2 linked regions of the Rhinolophus ferrumequinum genome follow. The protein of the gene in region 1 purifies or fractionates together with the protein of each later gene. This does not show direct contact. Links are inferred from orthologs where the notes say so. Each region holds a gene or a part of one and is shown in the gene's direction. Other genes may lie near its edges.

Region 1 (11,571 bases):
AATGGATGAATGGATAAAGAAGATGTGGTCTATATACAAGGGAAATACACACACACACACACACACACACACACAAATTGAAATTATTCAGCCATTAAAAAAGAAGGAAATCCTCGGAGCATTTTGAGATCTTGTTCCCCAGCATATGTTGTCAGTTTGGCTCTAATAAACTTTTTTTTTTTAATCTTTTTTTTGTTTCCCCCCTTCTTCCACCTCTCTGCCTCCACTCCGGTTCAAGCCGTTGTTTCTCAGTCTAGTTGTGTAGGACACAGCTCCCTGGCCCATGCTGGGATTATGAGCCTTGCGTTCCCCCCGGCTGAGGCAGATGGTCACCAGTTGTCGGTCGGCTCGGCCGCTCACAGCAGCTTTGGCTGGCTGCCGGCCACTCTCGATGGCTGCCAGCCACTCATAGCAGCACATGGTAGCCCATGCCAACCTCTGGCTGCTCATGGCAGCCCAGCTCCAGAGAGAGCTGTTCACAATCTTAGCTGTGGAGGGCGCAGCTCACTGGCCCATGTGGGAATTGAACCGGCAAACTCGGCGTTAGGAGCACGGTGCTCCAACCACCCGAGCCACCCAGCCATCCCCTCTAACAAACTGTTGTACAAATTTTCTACAGGTTTGGACATTTCTTACATCCACATATATAAAATAACCATAACTAATTTTAAAGTATCAATAAAATGATTAGAAAGTAAAATAGCAGAATGTTAATAGTGGTTTTTTAAAGTGTTCTTTAAACTGGATTATTTTTTCCTTTTACATTTCTGTATTAACTACATTTCTATAATTTTATAATTTTCAAAATTAAAAATAACTTTAAAACTTTATTATTAAAGAATAATTAGAATACCATGTCTTTAATTCTATAAATAAAATTTCTTAAAAAAAAGCAAATCCTGCCACTTGTGACAATATGGATGGACCTCAAGTAAGCTAAATGAAACAAGTCAGACAAAGACAAATACTGTATGATTTCACTTTTTGTGAAATATAAAACAAAATAAAATAAAAACCAACCTCATAGATACAACAGATTGTTGGTGGTTGCCAGAGGTGGGAGTTGGGTTTGGGCAAAGTGGGCGAAGGTGGTCAAAAGGTACAAACTTCCAGTTATAAAATAAAAATAAATAATAAGGCTCCATCTGTACATTAATTGACACACAATGAAACACATTTGGGAAATCCTATCACTATTAGGATGAATCAATAATTCATCTAGAATCATTCAGAAATTGTCTGTATATGTAGGCTGTGCCTTTCTATATGACTACTAACCAGTATCTAGACGAAAATGGTAACTTTATTAATCTATTGTCAGTTGGACAAGCATTTTCAATTATTTTTCCAATTATAGTGGTGGATTTTCACATTTTATTTTATGCTCTTTTCAGGCCTCCTTTGGACCAAGAAGAGACATTTATCAAGCAGTTGGCTGGGGTTAGGGGTACATGTTATGATTAAGGAAGTTAGCAAAGATAAATGAGCCACACTGGGATGAAAACTATGACCTCATTGACAAAGAGTTCCAGCTACCCAGCACAGAGATAATAAATATATACTTCTTGGAACTTTGCTTTCTCTCTTTTCCAAAAAGTTTTCTCTGTAGTCACTGAAGTATGGAGACATTTTATTCTCTCTAAATTTCCAGCAGGACTGTTTGTGCCAGGGATAGCACATTCCATCCTTCTGTGTACTATTACCAGTAAACAACTAAATGACCATCACAGAGTCTAGAGTCTTTGGATGAAAATCACCACGCAGAGTATAGTGGTAGTATTATACTACTGTGCAGAATAGTATTATCACACCAAAGATTATGAGGCATACATACTTTACTGAGAGTCTTTTGTGGGCCAGATTCATGTCCTGAAAACAGACTTGGCATTTTATAATGTAAATTTATGGAGGTTGTAGATTTTTCCACTAGAAAATGAATACATCTTTTATACAGTTTCCAGGATTAAGGATAATGATGAAACCGTGGAAGCAAAGTTCTAAAATATTCATTATTTTTATGCAACATCAAGTTGTTTTCAGAGTTGTTAAAATTGGTTTTTAAAAATTATTTCTATTTCAAATGAATCATTTGGTGAACAAGCTCACATAAAAGGTAAGGGAACAGAAAAAGAAGGGGAAAGTGGGCATGAATTGATAATTTATCAAAATGTGGTTGTGTCACACTTTAGGTGGCAAAGAACAGAAGTTCATTCAGTCTTAAGGGAAAAAGATTAACTGTAAGGACATGTATAGTTTTAAAATGTTAAGCCACTTCATAACTGAGACGATTCTAGGACTGGTTACACCAGCATCCACTTGGTTTCTCTCTCTCTCTCTCTTTCTCTCTCCCTCCCTCCTCTCTCTCTTTCTCCATCTCTCCCTCCCCGCTACTGTCTCTTCGTCCAGCTTCAGCTTTTCAAGTAGGGTATATGTAATTGGATTGTTTAATTCATGAGTGTGGAGTCTATCTATTGGGTAGACTCTGATTCTGGTGCCCCTACCTGACAAAAATATTTAGCTTCTTTTATTAAGAGGCCATAGGAAGCAGTATAATGTCTATGTCACACCAGTTAATATAGGCGTCACTTTTTTTTTTAATTGGGGAAGGGGAACAGAACTTTATCGGGGAACAGTGTGTACTTCCAGGAATTTTTTCCAAGTCAAGTTGTTGTCCTTTCAATCTTAGTTGTGGAGGGTGCCGTTCAGCTTCAAGTTGTGTCCTTTCAGTCTTAGTTGTGGAGGGCGCAGCTCAGCTCCAGGTCCAGTTGCAAGGGGCGCAGCCCACCATCCTTTGCGGGATTTGAGGAATGGAACTGGCAACTTTGTGGTTGAGAGGATGCGCTCCACCAACCAACTGAGCCATCTGGGAGCTCAGCAGCAGCTCAGCTCAAGGTGCCATGGTCAATCTTAGTTGCAGGGAGCACTGCCCCCCATCCCTTGCGGGATTTGAGGAATCGAACTGGCAACCTTGTGGTTGAGAGCCCACGCTCCGGCCAAGTGAGCCATCTGGGAGCTCAGCGGCAACTCAGCTCAAGGTGCCTTGTTCAATCTTAGTTGCAGCGGGTGATGCCCACCATCCCTTGTGGGATTTGAGGAGTTGAACCGGCAACCCTGTGGTTGAGAGCCCACTGGCCCATGTGGGAATGCAACCGGCAGCTTTTGGAGTTAGGAGCATGGAGCTCCAACCGCCTGAGCCACCGGGCAGCCCCAGTCGTCACATTTTTAAAAACAAAAAATAGCCCTCCACAGAAATCAAAACTATATGCGAGTATTCGCAAAAGGAAAAAATGTGTGCATATAATTGAATACAAAAGGGACTGTGTGAAATAAAAACTGTTTTTCAAATTGTTGACATTGTAATTGCTTTTTTTTCCTCTCTCAGTTTTAACCAATATTTTTGTTCTAGTGCTTTGACTAATTTAAGAGAGTTTTAAAAATATTTAGAACAATGAATATATTTAACAATTCCCAGATTTTTTTTCAACTGATCAGCCCTTATTTTTACTTTTCAAATCATTTTCGACTCAAGTAGTAGAGTCAGATTAAACTTAAGAAATGTATAAAACATGTGTTTATGTGTAAATGTGTTTAATTAACATTCTAATTCAATTTGAGTCAACAGTCATTCCAGGCAATTTTATCATGTATACGGAAAACTCATTACTTGAAAGTGTTTTATATACTTTAAAAAACAAAGTTGCAGATATATTTGTGTCCTTCTCAAGCAAGCTTTTAACATATTTGCCCATCCCTCTACATAGCTGTAGTCATGCGCCTATTAAACTTTTTGTAAAATAGATCAAAATATAAAAAGCAGACTGAAACATTAAAATATAGCTGTGAGGGTGAGGATGTCAGGTATGTTTAACGTATTTACAGCCAAGTGGGTATCTTATATCAAGTATAATATACACTCAGCATTTTATGACCAATTTTAACTGACATGAGTTTAAAATTAGAAATAACTATAGAAATCTCCAAAGATTTTTTAAAAATACAACCAATTGATTAGAGCTTTTGCTTTATTCTCAGTGATGCTTAATTGACTTTTTCAGATTCCAAACAAAGGACCAATATTAGCATCCATAGCCAGAAGATACATTTCTACAGTAAGTGTTTAGAATGATGGGTCAAGTGGAATATATATTTATCAGAGTGCCTAATTATAATACAATGATTGCTCAGCAATTTAACAATTGCCATTTATGATTCTAACAAAATTGTTGTCAGTTATGAAAAGTTAGTTCCTTAATCATATGGTAAGTATACTTAGACTGTACTCTGAAATTCTGATGAATATTTCTAATGATTTGCAGTAAGGATGTAATATTCTTTACCAAGTTTGTTCAATCAAGTGGAAATTGTATTTGTCTGCCACCTGGGGGATTCATGGAAACACTGCAAGTGGCAAAATTTGTAGTAATAAAATATTACAATATATGTGGTAATAGTATTTTATTTGTCTTTCATTATACATCTATATCTCAGCCAACATCACTCAGAAGATGTATATGTATACTACTATATAGTTGTGGCCAAGGAGGTAGTGACAAAACCAAAAAATGTGTATTCGGGATGTCAAGTGACAAAAATGTTTCCAAAAGAAGAGAGTGATCAGCTTCATCACTGCTGGTTGATCAAATAAGATAGAGACCTAAAGACTGACTACTGCATTTGGCAATTGGAAGGTCATAGGTGACCAGAACAACAGCTGTTTCTGGATGTTTTATGGTTTTCATTGCTATTATGAGCATATCTTTTCATTTATGACATTTTTTTCTAATCCATTACTGCTGGAGTATAGGGAACTATTAATTTTTGTAAGTTAATCTTTTATTTGGCCACCTTAATGAACTCTATTATTATTTCTAATAATTTGTCAATTGGTTTACTTGAATTTTCTAAGTAGAAAATCATATTGTTTGAAACCATTGACAGATTTGTCTTACTTTCCAACATTTGTACTTCATTTGGCATTAGCTGGGACCTCCAGTACAGTGTAACAATACAAGTGAAAGGTGGCCATTACTGTAATTTAATATGATCTGCTGAAGATTTCTGGGAAATATTTTTTAGGAGATAGGGAAGTTTCCTTTTATTCCTAGTTAGAGATTTTCCTTTTCTTAAATCATAAATGTGTGTGGAATTTTATCAAATACTTTTTAATAAATATCAGATGGTAAATTTTCTTTTTTAAAATTATTAATATGACAATATATTTGTTAATAGATTTCTTTTTTCTCTTGTTAATAGATTTTTCTCTTTTCTCTCTTTTTTTTTGTTAATAGATTTCTTAATGTTAATCCATCCTTATGGATAAATATAACTATCTTGTATTATATATATATATAAAATATACATATAATATATATATATTTATTTAAGCTCAGTGCTGTTTTCAATTTGGTGATTTTGATTTTTGATTTTCTTTCAATTTTGTTTATAAGTAAAAATGGCTTTAGGATTAGTTATAAAGTGCCAACCTTGTACAATTTTGGTGTCAGAATTACTTTCATCTTTAAAATGATGTTGGGAGTTAATGAAAGGAATGAACTAAATAAATTCTAAAAATGTTAAATAAACTGTAGTACAGGACAAATTCCCAAGCTCTAGTGATGATTTACACCTTTCAAAGGATAGCTATTGTAAAACAAAATTTTGATTGCTTTTTAATTCACTCAGAAGTACCCACTGATTTCAACCCACTTGGAAGGTGAATTATTAGCATAGCTAATATCCATGAGAATTTGGCATTATTCTTACATTAGTTCATCACAGACAAACAGGAAAATTATGTGACACAATCTAGGTAGTGTATATAAATATATACATAATATACTGTACATCCTATATACTGGTAATATATACTATTTTTGTATTCTTTTTCACTTAATATCATGGATGTCTTTCTGTTAGTTTGTAATTGTACATTAGCTCAGCTTACTGCCTGTATGACATTCCATTGTAGAGATACCTTGTTACATATTTAACTAGTACTCTGTTGTTGAATGGTAAATTAACACGTCAATATGCATCTTTTGTTCATGTGTCTGATTAGTCGGAAGGGTAAGAATTCAGGCTGTGCAAAGGGCAGAGATGGAAATATGAGCAATAGTGGGAGACTGGAAAGAATAAGGGGTGTACATGAAAAGTTGAATAGTTCACTTTGTCTGGGGCATAGGCCACTACAGGCAAGGGAGGTGGAAGGAGACATATAATTATGATCCGTGAATGGAAAAGAAGTTCGAGACTTTCTCTCACTTAATCTTGGACAATGCAAGGAATTGTTCTGAGCATGTCTGCATGTATAACTTACTAAAATTGCAAGTACTATTGTTATTCCTGCCTATTGGCAAGGAAACTGAGGCACGGGGAAGTTCAATTACCGAAGGTTACTGAGCGCTATTATTCCCACTTTGCAGACGAGGAACCAAGGTGAGATACTGAGCTTAAAAAGCGGGCCTTAACTGATTTCAAAGTCTTAGACACAATAGTAGATGGTGACAGAATATATTAATATGGGCTTGATTTGTCCCTCTTATCCCCAAGAAGCGTAAAAAGCACTAGCTGAGACCATAGAAAACCTTGATAGATTCCTTATTTCCAAAATACAGGAGGCATTTAACACTTAGCATTGCTTCCTAAGATGGCCAGTGTGCTTGAACTTAACTGATTGGTAGTCAGGCTTCAACAGTGAAGAACCGGGATCCACAGCTTGATAATGAAATTCCAAGAGGCGCGCGAGCCTCTATCCAAAGTTTCCCGCCTCCCAGCACGTCGCAACCAGTTCAGCAACAGTCTCTCCAGCCCAGTGCCGTGACGTCATCAAGGCAATGGATCCGTCCCCCTGGGATCGCTCTGCTCCTGCGCGCCGAGTAAACGGCGAGTTCCGACCTTAACCCCGCCCACTGCCCCGGAAGTTAACACAAACGCCACACCTCTCTCTCGGCCGGCAGGGGCGCAGCCATTTTAATTCATATCTGAGTGGGCGGCGGCAATTCGTGTTGGCTGTCTGGCTCCGCTGGGCAGGGGGTAATTTTATTGGTTTGGGGGTGGTTTTTAGTTTAAATTTTCCTTTCTAGCTTCGCATCGCGGGCCAGTTCGCACATTCTAATCATCTGAGGCCATGTCAGGAGACGCAGCCACGGAGCAGGTGAGGAAGGAGAGTGGTGGGGCCTCGTGGCGACCTCTTCTCTCCATGTCTCTGTTCGTCCTAGTACTCCAGCCATGTTCGCTTGAGGAAGGGATCAAGGGTCTAATGAACTCGGAGGACCCGGTACAGGAAGATGGTGGAAATGGGGGACAATGTCTGACTGAGACTTAAAATTTTTTTTTGGCTTCTCTGTTTTAGGCGTTAATAATGAACAAATAATTGATTTAGACAATAGCCAGGAAGCTGCTTGGTCCATTTTAGGCTCCTGGGACTACTCTAATTGGATGCCTTCCTTTGATACCATTTTGATGTTTAGGTTCTTAGGAATTGATTATTTTAACGTATACTCGCTGTTTTCGAAAAACTTGACAATATTCCCTCCGCCCTCTCACCGATATATACTGTACTCAAAAATAGGTTACTACTAGCTTGAGAAATAATTTGAGACTAAAGTAATCTGGGGAAATAGACTTGCCTGAGCTAATGAAGGAAACAGTTTGGGAGTAGAGCGTGATTGTGCTGCGATTTAGGAATTTTGTGGCTTTCTCTCGCTTCTGTTCACATTTGATTTTCGTTTTCCAGCGAGACAGATATTTCAGAATTTGATAGATCGGAAACGAGAAGTCTGTTTTGGCCCCTGTAAAAGCATGTTTTAATATGGATATAAGTAACGTTTAAATATTTTAAAATTCACATTTTTGATTAGTGATTTGTTTCTTTTGCTCTTTAGAGTTTTGTAGGATAGTGTTTACCTTTTAGTTTGAAAAATAAAACTGATATTTTATGAAAGGTGTTATTCAATTTGTTTTTCGACTTATGTCCTGGTATATTTAGGTAAATAGTTTTTAAAATGGAGTTGGACTAGCCTGCAGAGTCTCAATTTTCTGAAATTTCTCATTGCCATAGCAACGAAATACACTTAGGTTTTCATTTTTCAAGTCTCCAGCTTATAAAGTGGAGGTTGACATAGATGAGGCACAATTGGAGCGTTCCTATTGGGATATTGGGTGACTGTCAGTTTTATTATGTCTTGAAAGTTTGCCTCATTGAATTTTGTGTTTACTTGTCGACTGATTTCAGTCCTAAAATCTTTGCAGTGTTTATTTACATTTTACATGATGCCCAAGAATACAAAGCCTTAAAAATATTAAATCAAATCTGTTTATCTAATCTTATCCTCTTTCTGGGCTCATATTTTGTCCTCTGAAAGTCGAGGAGTACTATGCAGTGAAGTTTAACTGAAAGGTTCCAGAATTCATTGTGAATATGTTCATCTAAAATTGTAAAGACACTGAAATGTTGCCATGACCTTGAACATTTTAAATGGTGTTTTAAATGGGAGAGAGGTGGTGAAATTTTACAGAGGAAAAAAATCTCATCGAAAAGTATTATTGTGCAAAGTTAAGAACATAGAAAAAAGTTGAAAGTGCAATGAACACCAATAGTACAATTCTTCACTTAGAATCAATTGTTAAACGTTTTACCACATTTGCTTTATTTCCCGATACATATTTAGTTGAAAGTAAGTCAACATATATTTCAGTACCACATATTTCAACATTCTCATTTTTAGCATCAGCCCCACATAATTCAGCATTGATGCTCTTATATAACCATCATACCATTTTCTCACCTAAGAAAATTGTCATCGTATCATTTCTAAAATCCAGTCTATATTCAGATTTGCCCCGTTGTCCCAAGAACATGATTCATAGGGTTTGGTTGTTGTTTTTTATTTTTAATCAGAATCTAATCTAGGTTCACATTGCATTATTTGGTTACTTCTCTTGAATAGTTCCCAATTTTTTCTCCCCTAGGATATTGTCTATTTGAAGAATCTAGTTTACTTTTAGAATTTCTCACTTTTTGGGTTTATTTGATTTTTGTGTTTGTCATTTAACTTGTCCCCTTCATTGTCTGTATTTCCTGAAAAACTAAACTCAGAGCTCTGATAATATTTAGGTTAAATATTTTTGGATAGAATACTTTATAACATTACATCAAAAGGCACTTCTTGCTAAGTTGTTCCATTGTTGGTGATGTTTAAGTTTGATCACTTGTTTGGGGTAACTGCTTCATTGTAAAGGATTATCTTCCCCTTTACAGTTAGTAATGTGGGTTGATACTGTGTTCCTCACTAACTTTTTACCTAGTTATCAATTGATAATCTTTGAATAAATCAGTCATTATATTGGAGGTGGCAAATGGTGGCTTTTTAAAACTTCTTATTCTGTCTCTACGTACTGGCTCATATTTTTCTGTAAAAATATGAAGTTTCCCTTTTTTCCTTTTCTCCTTTTCATAGATTGAGTATCACTGGATTTCTGGAAAGACATTTTTGACATCTGAATACTAACAGTCATCTTTGTATAATCTTTAACTTTTTAATGATGCATTTCAAGCATGTAAAAAAAGAAAGACTAATATAATGTACGTTCCTATCATAGATCTTCAACTCATTGCAAATCTTGTTTTCTCCATACTTTCATTCGCTCTTCCCATTTCCATTGCTTTAAAAGCTGGATTCAGCTTTAAACAAAATGATAATTTAAAGAATAGCATGATTAAAAATATGAATCAACTAACTTTTTTTATGTATAAGACAACAGTCAGTGAAAATTTAGAGGAAAAGAGGAGTGCCTAAAATGACATGAAGTGAAGAATAATAAAATCAAAAGCACTCTGAATGATGGATTTGCTTAGGAAAGATGCCAACGGATGGGATAGACAGAACTTTGCAATACATGAAGTGTAGATAGATTTCTTTTAGCCTTTTAGCATTGAAGCTTTTGTCAAATAAACCAAATAATACCTTATTTGTTAAGTCAAAAATATGGATGGTCATTTCTTTCTTGGTACTGAATGTCTGGATTTGTGCCCTTTGAAAGAGGGAAATGATTGTAGAGAACCAAAATCACGACTAAGGTTTATTGTAAATTTTTTTGCTCTTGTAAGGAAGTTCTGTTTTGCATTTAGGGAGCTATTTAAATTACCTTCCAGTGTTTGTGGGTATTCTCCTGGAGCTTTGTGTTTACTGTTTTTGCCAGTTTAATGGGGACAAAATATGTGCATACAGTTTTTTCTCCCTAATGAACACATCTGGTTCATGTGTGGAATAATGACTGTATTTTTATCTTACAGATTTTTTTTTAACTGCTGGATTCAACTTTTGATCTCATTCTTTCTTAGCCTTATTTTACCTTATGCACTACTTCCTACAGCATTTAGTAAGCTATTGCTTAGAGTGCCCGCCACTGCATTTGAGCTTGGGTTGAAGGGGCTGCTGTATTTATCATTGCATTTTAAAAACCTAGGAAATACTGTTTTGATTCTTAAAAGTGTTCAGTAAATGAATGGATGAATTTTGTACTGAGGTTACATGTGATACATTACAAATATTCAAAGAATTTAATCATTTGTGAAACACAGATGCATAAGTAATGCAAAATAAAATATTTTGGACATAAGAGTGGATAGTTTCTAAAGTTTTGTTGGCTAAAAGGAGGAAGAGGAATGTGTTGGGCCATGTCAATTCATATGAACCTTTGAGTCCCTAAGATGTTTTTATACTCTCGTCTTTTAGAAATAAGATGTAAACAACCTATAAGCCTATTCTAAAGAAGGCCTAAAAATATAAACAAAATGATCCTCACTTTGGGAAAATTTCATGAATTGAGGAAGCACAGATAAATTGCCAGTACTTAACAAAAGGGGATTCGGGGCCACAAATCAGTGTTTTGCTTTGGTGAAAAATAAGTTTGGGAAAGATACAGAAAATATGAAAAATATGTATTGTTATATACTTATTAATGAGGAAAGAAAGCTCAAACACCCACAATGTTGAAACCTAAAGTCTGGTTTATTTTGTTGGGTAATTATTACTACTTACTAGCAGTTAAGAGGTAACAGCAGCGCCAAATAATTTTAAAGCCAAAGTGGGTGTGTGTAGGGGTTAAGAACAGGGAAGAAGGAAAGGATCAAGTACTTAGGCGGAGCTTTCTTTGGGCCCAATTATTTTTACCTGTTTTTAACAAAATCTTTTGTGATAGCCTTTCCTACTTTTCCCCCTCCTATTTTGAAATGATATTTAGTATGCCAGCTTGGAGCAAATTTGATTTGATCGTTATTAATATTTATTGAGAAAACTGGGCTATATAGAATATTTGACAATGATTGGTTTCTAAGAGAAAGTGATCTGTGTTTACAAAAATATTGGTTTTCCTTAGAGGTACAGCCGAAAGGTACTGTGTTAGGAGAGATTCCATTCTTTCAGCGTTAGGGTCATAGGAGTTTCAGGGAATACAAGGGTTGACATACTGGAGAGACCTGGGACAGCAAATCTGTATTCAGATGTTTGTACCTATTAAGTGGACAATTGCCAAAAACAATTAATAGTTTTAAGCTCTTCTGTCACTGTT
Region 2 (10,464 bases), on another chromosome or scaffold:
TGCTAGTTTTTATGAATAGTATCTGTATTTTGAGGGAGGCCATTATTAGATAAAATTCTAGGCAACAGTTCTCTAAGTTTGTATATCTTTAAAAGTAGAATACAATTGTATGTATCTCATAGGATTGTTGTCAAGACCAGATGTTGGAACCCAAAGAAAAGTGTTTTGTAAGTTGAAAGCATTAAATTAACATTTTCTTAACACACATAATCTGTAATAAGATAATCTTGTATTAATTTAAAAAATATTTACTGAGTGATTATAAAAGGCACTAAGCTAAGCAATATGAAAAATGTAAATCAGATATGGGTTCTATATTTAAACGGAAACAAGAATATTGCTAACTCTAGGGGGGTGACTGGTTAGCTCAGTTGGTTAGAGCCTGATGCACGTAACACCAGGGTTGCCAGTTCGATCTCTGCTTGGGCCAGTGTGAGCTGTGCCCTCCACAACTAGATTGAAACAACTACTTGACTTGGAGCTGATGGGTCCAAAAAACACACTTAAAATAAATAAAAGTTTAGGGGGAAAAAAAAGAATATTGGTAACTCTAATACAAGATAGAAGGTAATGCATTGGTGCCAAATCAATGTTCTACTCTAAAAGGAAAATTCTTTGAGGTAAGTGTTGAAGGACAAGAATGATTTAAGCATTGGTGTGGGGTGATGAGGAGAGGAAAAAGGCATCCTCAACAAAATGAAATAGCATGATCAAAATCTAGGAGGTGGAAAAGCACAAATCCTATGAGAACTACAAAAAATGAGTGGTACAATTTAGCCAGAGGGGAATGTATGAAAGGGATGGGTGAGTAATGAGAATGAAGCCACATTATAGAAGATGTTAAAAGCAGGAAGATAAATGGCCACACTTTAGATGTAAAATTAGAATGGATTAAAAAGAATGTCCAAGTTCAAAAGAATGTCCAAGTTCACGGAGAAGGACTGTATAAGATTGGTATTCTTAAACCTCTGCCATTATTATTCTATGTTCATTGTTTCAGAAAGATGGAAGAAAGCCTACTGACTCTCACATCAAGTTTAGATTCGTGAATCTGATTTTCAAAACCTTTTTGTAACCTGTCCCAAAAGACAATGTTTTATCACACCATTCACCAACTCTCTATTAGTTTCCTCTGAGGGCATCAAAAAACACTAGGTTCCAATTTCATGTCTTGTCTATCCCTATCTCTTGGCTAATTCTCCTTGTCTTCTATTTATATATACCAGATTATAACCCATCCCTTAAATCCCAGCTCCCTCAGCAAGATGTCTTTGATGATACAGACTCTATCACTTACTTCCATCTCTACATACTTCACTGCATATCCATTTATCAAATAACAACATGGAACAACTGTCACTGACCTAGGTATAAAATGAGAAGGGTCCTAGCAGCAGGTGCTCATTCTTTTTATGGGCATGTTATTTAATGCAGAGTGTCTCCTTTGCAAAATGAAGGGTTTGTGAATTAGCCAACTGAAGTCACTTCTCATCATACATTCCACATATAATGAGCGCCCACCTGTGCTAAGCTATTTCCTAGGTCATGAGGATACAGTGTGAAGAAGACCAAGTATCTATCTATCTATCTATCTATCTATCTATCTATCTATCTATCTCTCTCTCTCTCTACCTACCTAACCTATTCATTATGATTATCTCTCCTTATTTCACTGGTTCTTGAAGTTTAGCCTGCATCAGAAACACCTGGGGAGCTTGTTAAAATAAATTTCAGTATACACATGTACAACCCCCCCCCCACCCCAAGTTTCTGATGCAGTAGGTTTGGAGTAGGGCCCCCAATTTTTGCATTTCTGTTTCCAAGTGATGCTCACGATACTGGTCCAGAAACAACACTTAGAGAACACATGTTCTAGTGGAAAGGCTGTCTTTTACACTGTTGTGTTGCCAATGCCTAGGATAAATACAGAGGGTGCCAAAAAAATGTATACACATTTTAAGAAAGGAAAAAAATCTATTAAAATTGTAATACTCAATATATACCAATAGCAAAAGATTAATACAAGTCACATTTGACTTCTGTAAGTACAAGAGGTGCTCAAAGTGGTTACCATCAGCATTCAGACATTTCTGATTACGGCAAACTATCGCTTGAGCAACGCTCACAAAGTGTCCACTCATATACATTTTTTTGGCACCCCCGGTATTTATGGAATAAAAGAATTAATATAAGGCACTTTGTTGATTGACAAGAAGAATCCATCTTTGCTCTTTCCTTGAATGATATGGTTTACTAAAAGGTAGAAAAGTTACTCTCATTCGCCAGGTACAGATAAAGAATGGTTTATATCCAAAGAAAAATGAACTTACTTCCAATCTAGAGGAAGGAGGAAGAAGATTAAAGAGAACTTTGTGTAGGAGTGTATTTTGATCTATCTCTGTGTATAGGGACCCACACATTTATTTCAAAAATGTCATAACTAAAAATATTTTTTAGTACCTCTCTTTGGAATCTAATTAATCTATAGTGAATCTCTGTTAGTATGCTCAAAGGATACAGAATCTTTATATTCTGATGTATGTCTTGATATTTGGAAAGAGCTAATATATTTTTACCACATCTGGTCAGACATTTAGGTGATTTAGTTACATAACTCTGTTCTTGGTTGAAAACAAGGTATACCTTCGAGTTAAGGCACCAGTTTTCTAGTATGACATAAAAATGGAGCCCTAAAACAACTTTAGAATAGGACTTTAGAAATCATTTTGAACAACAGAAGTCCAAATGGATTAAGTTTCCAGTTTCTGAAGGTGATTAGTTTGAAGGATAGCCCCCATTTGGCCATATGCCTTGATGTGTTTGTTTAAAAATCACTCTTAGTACAGCTGATATTTTGATTTATTGGATCAATGCCTGAACATGCAAGATGCCACATCCATTTTTCTTCAGAGTATATGTCATGCTATAAATATCTAAACTTTAAACATTATGGGAACAAAAAAAGCAGTATAAAATGTAAGTTCTTCCAGGGTAAACCTATGATGCTACCAGGAAATGTACATAGGTTCCTAAAAGCTCTTTGTAATTCTGGGCCACTCAGTTAATAATAAATATTAGTTTATTGGTCCTGAGCATTGAGCTATGTGCTGGAACACACTGGTCTTCTATGGAGAAGACCATATCAAACCATGTATGGTTTTCTAAGGAGAAGGCCATATCTTCTAGGGAGCCATATCAAACCATTCTTCTAGTTTGGAATATGAGGACTAAAGAGAACATGGAAGACCGATGACAAAAAGGCTTCTTCCCTCTTGTTCATCCCCAGTCCCTCAGCTATTCTGTTCACACATCCTTTGAACCCAGGGTATCTTCAGAGTGGGATCAGCATGTACTAGTGTTACTAGATCAGCATTAAAGTATTAATAATTTTTAAAGACCATCCATATCTTATACTTTTTAACAGAGTGCACTAAATTTTGTCCTGATACAAATGATGAAAACAAAAGTGGATAAACACTTCAAGTCCCTTTGTTTAGAACAATGATTCTTAAAGTGAAATCCCCTAACCAGCAGCGTCAGCATCACCTGGGAACTCGTTAGAAATGCAAATTCTCCACTCCTACCTCAGAAATATTGAGTCCGAATTGGGGAGGAGAGGTGAAGAGACCCAGCGATCTGACTTAAGCCATGGATCCAGGTGGTTCTGATGTATGCTAACGTATGAAGACCGCTGGTTTAGCTATTATCAGAGCATCAGTAAAGAAACTGTCACGTCAGGGCGGCGGGTTGGCTCAGTTGGTTATAGTGCAGTGTTTATAACACCAAGGTTGTCGGTTCAATTCCCACATGGGCCAGTGAGCTGTGCCCTCCACAACTAGATTGAAAACAACGACTTGACTTGGAGGTGATGGGTCCTGGAAAAACACACTGTTCCCCAATATTCACCAATAAAAATTACAAAAAAACAGCAACTGTCAGATAAGCTGTGCAACCTTTTATGAACTTTATAATTTATCCTAATAGCCTATTGCTATCTTCATGATTACTACATTTAACATACACACAATTTCACACATAATTGTCTGACCGAATGTGTGTAAAAAAGTCATGGCTTCTCTCCTTAAAGAGATAGTATGGAAAGGAGACAAATGTACTTGTTTTTAGTTTTCCAAAATGACATCTTCCTCAACTCCCTTCCACCTCCACCCTGCCTCCAATAAAAGAATCAGGGGGGAAAACCATTACTACTAGGCTCTATTCTGTTTCTTTTGATAGAGCAGAAAGATTTTAATAGGTGATATAAATGCACTTTATCACTTGCAGATATCAGTTACAATGTGTCTTGCGTGAATAGCTATGTCCAAGTCTGTTTTAAAGAACAATTAAAACATTTGAAGGTAAATGAAGGCTTCACCATATTTGTAGCTAAACCTCATACTCATTTCAGATATATTCATTGGACATAGGTTCCTAATAGCTCTTTGTAATTCTGGCCACTCAGTGATGATGATACTCAAGACACATAAAACAATTTTTGATGAAACAAAGTTTCATAATCCCCTCAAAAAGCATACGTAGTTACTCTAGTCTTTGTAATGATTCTATGTTTAGTAGTTAAAACTCAGGCTCTGGAGCAGTGCAGTCCACAAACATATAATGTAATCCATATATGTAATTTTAAGTTTTCTAAGCAACCACATTTTAAAAAGTAAAATGAGAGATAAATTATATTTTGTTTAATCCTACATATTAAAAATATTACTTCGACATGTAAATAATATAAAGTTAATGATATAATTTTACACTTTTTATAGTCTTTAAAATCTTCCATGTACTTTACACATACGGCACACTTCAATTAGGATGCTAAATTTTCACAAGAAATACTTGATTTTCATTTAGATTTCATAAAATTTATCATTGCTAAAGTACATTCTAAACCCAACTTGTTTCAAACACACCAAAAAGTTTTCCAGTAGCCTCGCTGAGTATCAGTTTTTATTTCACATCAATAAAAAATAAATACAATTAAAATTTCAATTTAGCAGTCACACTGCCATATTTCCAGTACTCGAGAGCTCCAAGTGGCTAGTGGCTATCAATTGGGGCAGCGCAGCTCTGGAGCTGCCAGACCATACCTGGATGAGAATTCTGGCTTTGCCATTTAGTGGTTGCCTAGCAAATTACCTAGCCCTCTCCAAGCTTCAGCTCTACCAGTTCTGTCGTGTGTAGTAGGTGGGGGTAAAAAACCCCACTCCATTATGTATACTCAACTTCTGCCGTCAAAATTAACAGCATAATAGAAACAAATAGTTTGTTTTTTGTTTCATAGTAGTGGTTTTGAAATTACCTATTACTTCACTTTACAGTTATCAGACCAATCTAAATGCCTACAAGGTAAGAAAGGTTAAATTTAATTCATACTCTGCAGCCATAAAATGCTATTTATTGTTAATCATTCATATTAATATCGGTTAAAGAAAACAAGTAGTATTATGCATAGCTCCACTGCTGCCTGCGCGCACAAAGAAAAACTTGAAGGGACCGGCCGCCTATCAACGGCTGTGTTCCTAAGCAACGCGATGGGGCGGGGCTGGAGCTGGCACACATTCGGCTTGTTTCTGGGCAGTTTATTTTCCCAAACTGTTGTGTTTTTTTTTTTCCTAAAACGGAGCTATAAATTTTGTATTTGAAGGAGAAAATCCCAAATCTGTTTTGAAACGACACTTTTCACTTGAAGTCTGGAATGTGATTTTAAATGTAGCTTACATATACTATAATAATGAGAAACTGCTATGTGCAAACACTCGTATCAGAAGGAGGAACGAGCTGCCTCAATCCGTTTTCAGTTGGCGGTTTCCCGCCGGTCAAACGGAAGCAAAACCCGCTCTGACGTAAAGGGAGGCGGCCTCTCCTTGTTACCATGGTGAAGTCTATGCGGCCATCTTTACTGTGGTTAACGCGCACCAAACTTTCCCTGGCGGGGGTGGTGCCGCGCCACGAAAGTCTGCGGAATCAGAGGCGAAAATGGAATTATGAGTCTCAGAAATAAGGTGCTGACAGAACCACGTACGACCAGGATCAGAAACCATTAGCTAATGTAGTGGAACGTAGAGGTGCAGATTCCACCGAAAAGCGGAACGATGTAAACGGACGTGTGACGTTTCTGCCCGGATTTGGAGAGCCGCTTCCGTTGCTCAGCGGAAGTGTCGGTGGCAAGAACAGCCTGGGAAGAATCCGCTCACCGCCGTTTTGAACAGCCGGAATCATGTCGAGTTTGGCGGTGAGAGACCCGGCAATGGATCGATCACTGCGTTCCGTGTTCGTGGGGAACATTCCGTATGAGGCGACTGAGGAGCAGTTAAAGGACATTTTTTCGGAGGTTGGTTCTGTTGTCAGTTTCCGGCTGGTATACGACAGAGAGACGGGAAAACCCAAGGGTTATGGTTTCTGCGAGTACCAAGACCAGGAGACCGCGCTTAGTGCCATGCGGAACTTGAATGGGCGGGAGTTCAGCGGGAGAGCGCTTCGGGTGGACAATGCTGCCAGTGAAAAGAACAAGGAGGAGTTAAAGAGCCTAGGGCCTGCTGCGCCCATCATTGACTCCCCGTATGGGGATCCCATCGATCCAGAAGATGCTCCTGAATCAATTACCAGAGCAGTCGCTAGTCTCCCTCCGGAGCAGATGTTTGAGCTGATGAAGCAGATGAAGCTCTGTGTCCAAAACAGTCACCAGGAAGCTCGAAACATGTTACTTCAAAACCCTCAACTGGCTTATGCGCTGTTGCAGGCACAAGTTGTGATGAGAATCATGGATCCAGAGATTGCTCTAAAAATTCTTCATCGCAAGATACATGTCACACCACTGATCCCAGGCAAATCTCAGTCTGTGTCTGGTCCCGTCTCTGGCCCTGGCCCTGGCCCTGGACTCTGCCCAGGACCCAATGTTTTGCTGAACCAGCAGACTCCTCCAGCACCTCAGCCTCAGCATTTGGCTAGAAGACCTGTGAAAGATATTCCTCCTCTGATGCAGACCCCTATCCAGGGTGGAATTCCAGCCCCCGGGCCAATACCAGCTGCAGTTCCTGGACCTGGTCCTGGTTCCTTAACTCCTGGTGGAGCAATGCAGCCTCAAGTTGGAATGCCAGGGGTTGGCCCAGTGCCTTTAGAGCGGGGACAGGTGCAGATGTCAGATCCTAGAGCTCCTATGCCTCGTGGACCCATGACTGCTGGTGGCCTGCCTCCTAGAGGACTGTTAGGAGATGCTCCAAATGACCCACGTGGAGGGACTTTGCTTTCAGTCACTGGAGAAGTTGAGCCCAGGGGCTATCTTGGGCCACCACATCAGGGTCCACCCATGCACCATGCCCCTGGTCATGACAGCCGTGGCCCTTCCTCACATGAGATGAGGGGAGGGCCATTAGCCGATCCCAGACTGCTAATTGGAGAGCCCAGAGGACCCATGATAGATCAAAGGGGTCTACCTATGGATGGCAGAGGTGGTAGAGATTCTCGAGGGATGGAGACCCGAGCCATGGAAACTGAGGTCTTAGAGACACGAGTGATGGAGAGAAGAGGAATGGAGACCTGTGCAATGGAAACCAGAGGGATGGAAGCAAGAGGCATGGATGCAAGAGGAATGGAGATACGAGGCCCTGGCCCCAGTTCGAGAGGCCCTATGAACAGTGGAATCCAGGGTCCTGTTCCCATTAATTTGGGGGCAGGTGGTCCTCAGGGACCCAGGCAGGTCCCAAGCATTTCAGGGGTGGGAAATCCTGGATCTGGTATGCAGGGGGGAGGCATACAAGGAGCAGGCATGCAGGGGGCAGGCATGCAGGGAGCAGGTATACAGGGAGCTGGCATACAAGGAGCAGGCATGCAAGGAACAGGCATGCAAGGAGCAGGCATACAAGGAGCGGGCATACAAGGAGTGGGCATGCAGGGGGCAGGCATACAAGCAACAGGCATACAGGGGTCTGGCAAGCAAGGTGGAGGTCAGCCTAGCAGTTTTAGTCCTGGGCAGAGCCAAGTAACTCCACAGGATCAAGAAAAGGCAGCTTTGATCATGCAAGTTCTTCAACTGACTGCAGATCAAATTGCCATGCTGCCTCCTGAGCAAAGGCAGAGTATCCTGATTTTAAAGGAACAAATCCAGAAATCTACTGGAGCTTCTTGAAAGGTTTAAAAAATGCTTGGCAGTATCCCAGAAAGTTTTTGGTTTTTTTGTTGTTGTCGTTTGTTGTTGTTGCATGGAGAATGGCTGCAAAAAGCTAACTTCTGCATCCCCTGTACTTGAATGATTAGGATTTCCCTCCTGCCAGAACTAATCTCATTTCTTTTTGTTGTCTTTTTTTTCTGTTTTCCTTTTTATTTTTAATGGGGGCGGGGGGGGCGCTAGGAGTAAGAGGGAGTGGTCTGTTCACTTTAATTCACTATAAATACACAAAAAATAATTCTGAAAATAATTATATTATGCCAAATAAGATTACAAAGAATATGCAGCAATATTAAAAGTGTCTGCAATATGTTTACTACATTTTTTTTTCAAATATTGAGTAAAACGATGTGAAATCTGCACATAAAGACTAAAAGATGACCTGTTAAAATGGTAATGAACCAAGATAGTTTAAGATTTTTAGTTGCGTAAGAAAATAAAGAAGTTTACCTCAAAATTATAAGATATATTTTTGGTAAGTCATTTACAATACAAAATCCTACTTGTGGGGCAGTAGAATGCTGTATTAGGTTAAGCACTGTTTTAGTGCTTTGAAATTATTTTGAAACGTTAGAGCTAACAGGATAAGTCTAAATTTGTGGTATTGGAATTGTTCTTTTCTGAAGTGATGCTACCTGAAAAATCAAGGAATGCATCTAGTGTGATGTTCCATTCATCTCACTCTTACGAGACCAGCCGTATTCTGGCCTGGCCCTGAACGTGGTTTTGCTGGGGCAGTTCTAGGATCATCCAGGTTACTTAAGTTGGCTCTGATGAGATTCAGTGTATCTCTCAGTACCTTGTATTTCTCCATAGTCTTTTAAGCCCTAAATCTGAAAGAGTTACTCTTTCACATCCTTCGCTAAAATCAATACCTAGTGACCAGTTTATCTAGATGAATTATACACAGTATTGGGCTCTTCATAAATAGCAAAGGGCTTCATGCAGTAAAGCTCTGCTTTTTGGTAACTAGTGTTCATATACAGATGATGCCCATGTAGTCAACCAGAATCAGGAGTTAAAAATCTCAGTCTCAGCAACATTTAGCATGCCTTTTAGTTTTTTGTGTTTGTTTTTTTTATTTCAAAATCTATTTGTCACCATCTTACAATAATTGAGGCCCAAGAAGGTAGAGAGATTCTTATAGCCTAAGTTCTCTGCTCGGTTATTACACATTGCTTTTTTATAAGTAATAAAGCCATTTAGTCCTAATAAACATACCATTGAGACAGTTAAAAATCAGTAGGAAGGTGAGGCTTATCACATTTCCTTCAGAGCTACTACCTGATTTGTTTTTAAGTCTTGATGATAAGGACATCATAGACCACAGGTAATTAACAAGCATAAATACCAAAATAACCAGGTGATCTTACTCTGGAGAAGAAAAACTAATGTCTAGTTACAGGAAATAATGTTATTAATACAAGGAGAGAGCTGAGACTTGGAAATTGGAATGTTTTCCCCTTGCAAGGTTTTTACATCTTAACTAGTAATTCACTATCTTTTTACAAAGTTTTCATCCCTACACCATTCCTGGCTACCTGTTTTATTCCTGTTTCTATTGTTCATACTGTTAATTTTCCCATGTTTTTATATGCTTCCCCTATATTAGAGGGGATAGCTCTTCTGTGCATGTGTGATAGTTCTGGATAATACTCATACAGAGTTGATTTGATTACTTTGAAATTACAGTTGATTTATCCCAAAGCTTTCACTGAAGAACTAAATGAAAACCATTAAATGTTATGCTCTTTGTTGTAGTAAAATCTCTGCAAGTTTAATGCAGACTTAATAAAAAGAACGTAGAATTAAGTCTCACTTTATTATCTGGTATGTTTATTTTGTTGTGTGTGAATTCTTTTAATCTTTTTTTTTCTTGATGGCGTCACTTTTTTTCTTGTTTTATTAGTTTCAGGTGTATAAAACAACGTCATGGTTAGACATTTGCACCCCTCACAAAGTGATAACCCCCTCCCCCAATCTACTACCCCTCTGACATCGTATATAACTGTTACAATTCCATTGACTCTATTACCTGTGCTGATATGTTTATTTTTGATGAATGCATTATTCACGTGACCTATTGAGAGATCCGTGGGGCTTGAATATATTTTTTTTTAATATAAAAGACAAAACTAAAGAAATTGCAGGGATGGATGAGGATCACTTTCTTAGATACATTATATAGTTCCACAAGTGAAGTAACTATAAAGATGTGTTATTCTGTGGTTGGTATCAGTATCAGCATCTTGGTGGATACACAGTTATTAGGCTTCCTTTTGTTTATG

What was found.
Region 2: the proteins of CSTF3 (region 1) and CSTF2T purify together in Homo sapiens (co-immunoprecipitation; 4 studies listed by BioGRID and IntAct, counting the BioPlex papers as one, with this or other methods). This does not show direct contact. The link is inferred for Rhinolophus ferrumequinum from reciprocal best matches to the Homo sapiens genes CSTF3 and CSTF2T.

What each region holds. Positions count from the first base shown.
Region 1 is NC_046294.1:24,518,724-24,530,294, forward strand, and holds the start of CSTF3 (cleavage stimulation factor subunit 3), read left to right. Parts: upstream 1-6,959; 5' UTR 6,960-7,126; coding exon 7,127-7,153; intron 7,154-11,571. UniProt on the Homo sapiens protein: One of the multiple factors required for polyadenylation and 3'-end cleavage of mammalian pre-mRNAs.
Region 2 is NC_046299.1:34,701,635-34,712,098, reverse strand, and holds CSTF2T (cleavage stimulation factor subunit 2 tau variant), read left to right. Parts: upstream 1-5,953; 5' UTR 5,954-6,229; coding exon 6,230-8,137; 3' UTR 8,138-8,502; downstream 8,503-10,464. UniProt on the Homo sapiens protein: May play a significant role in AAUAAA-independent mRNA polyadenylation in germ cells. Directly involved in the binding to pre-mRNAs.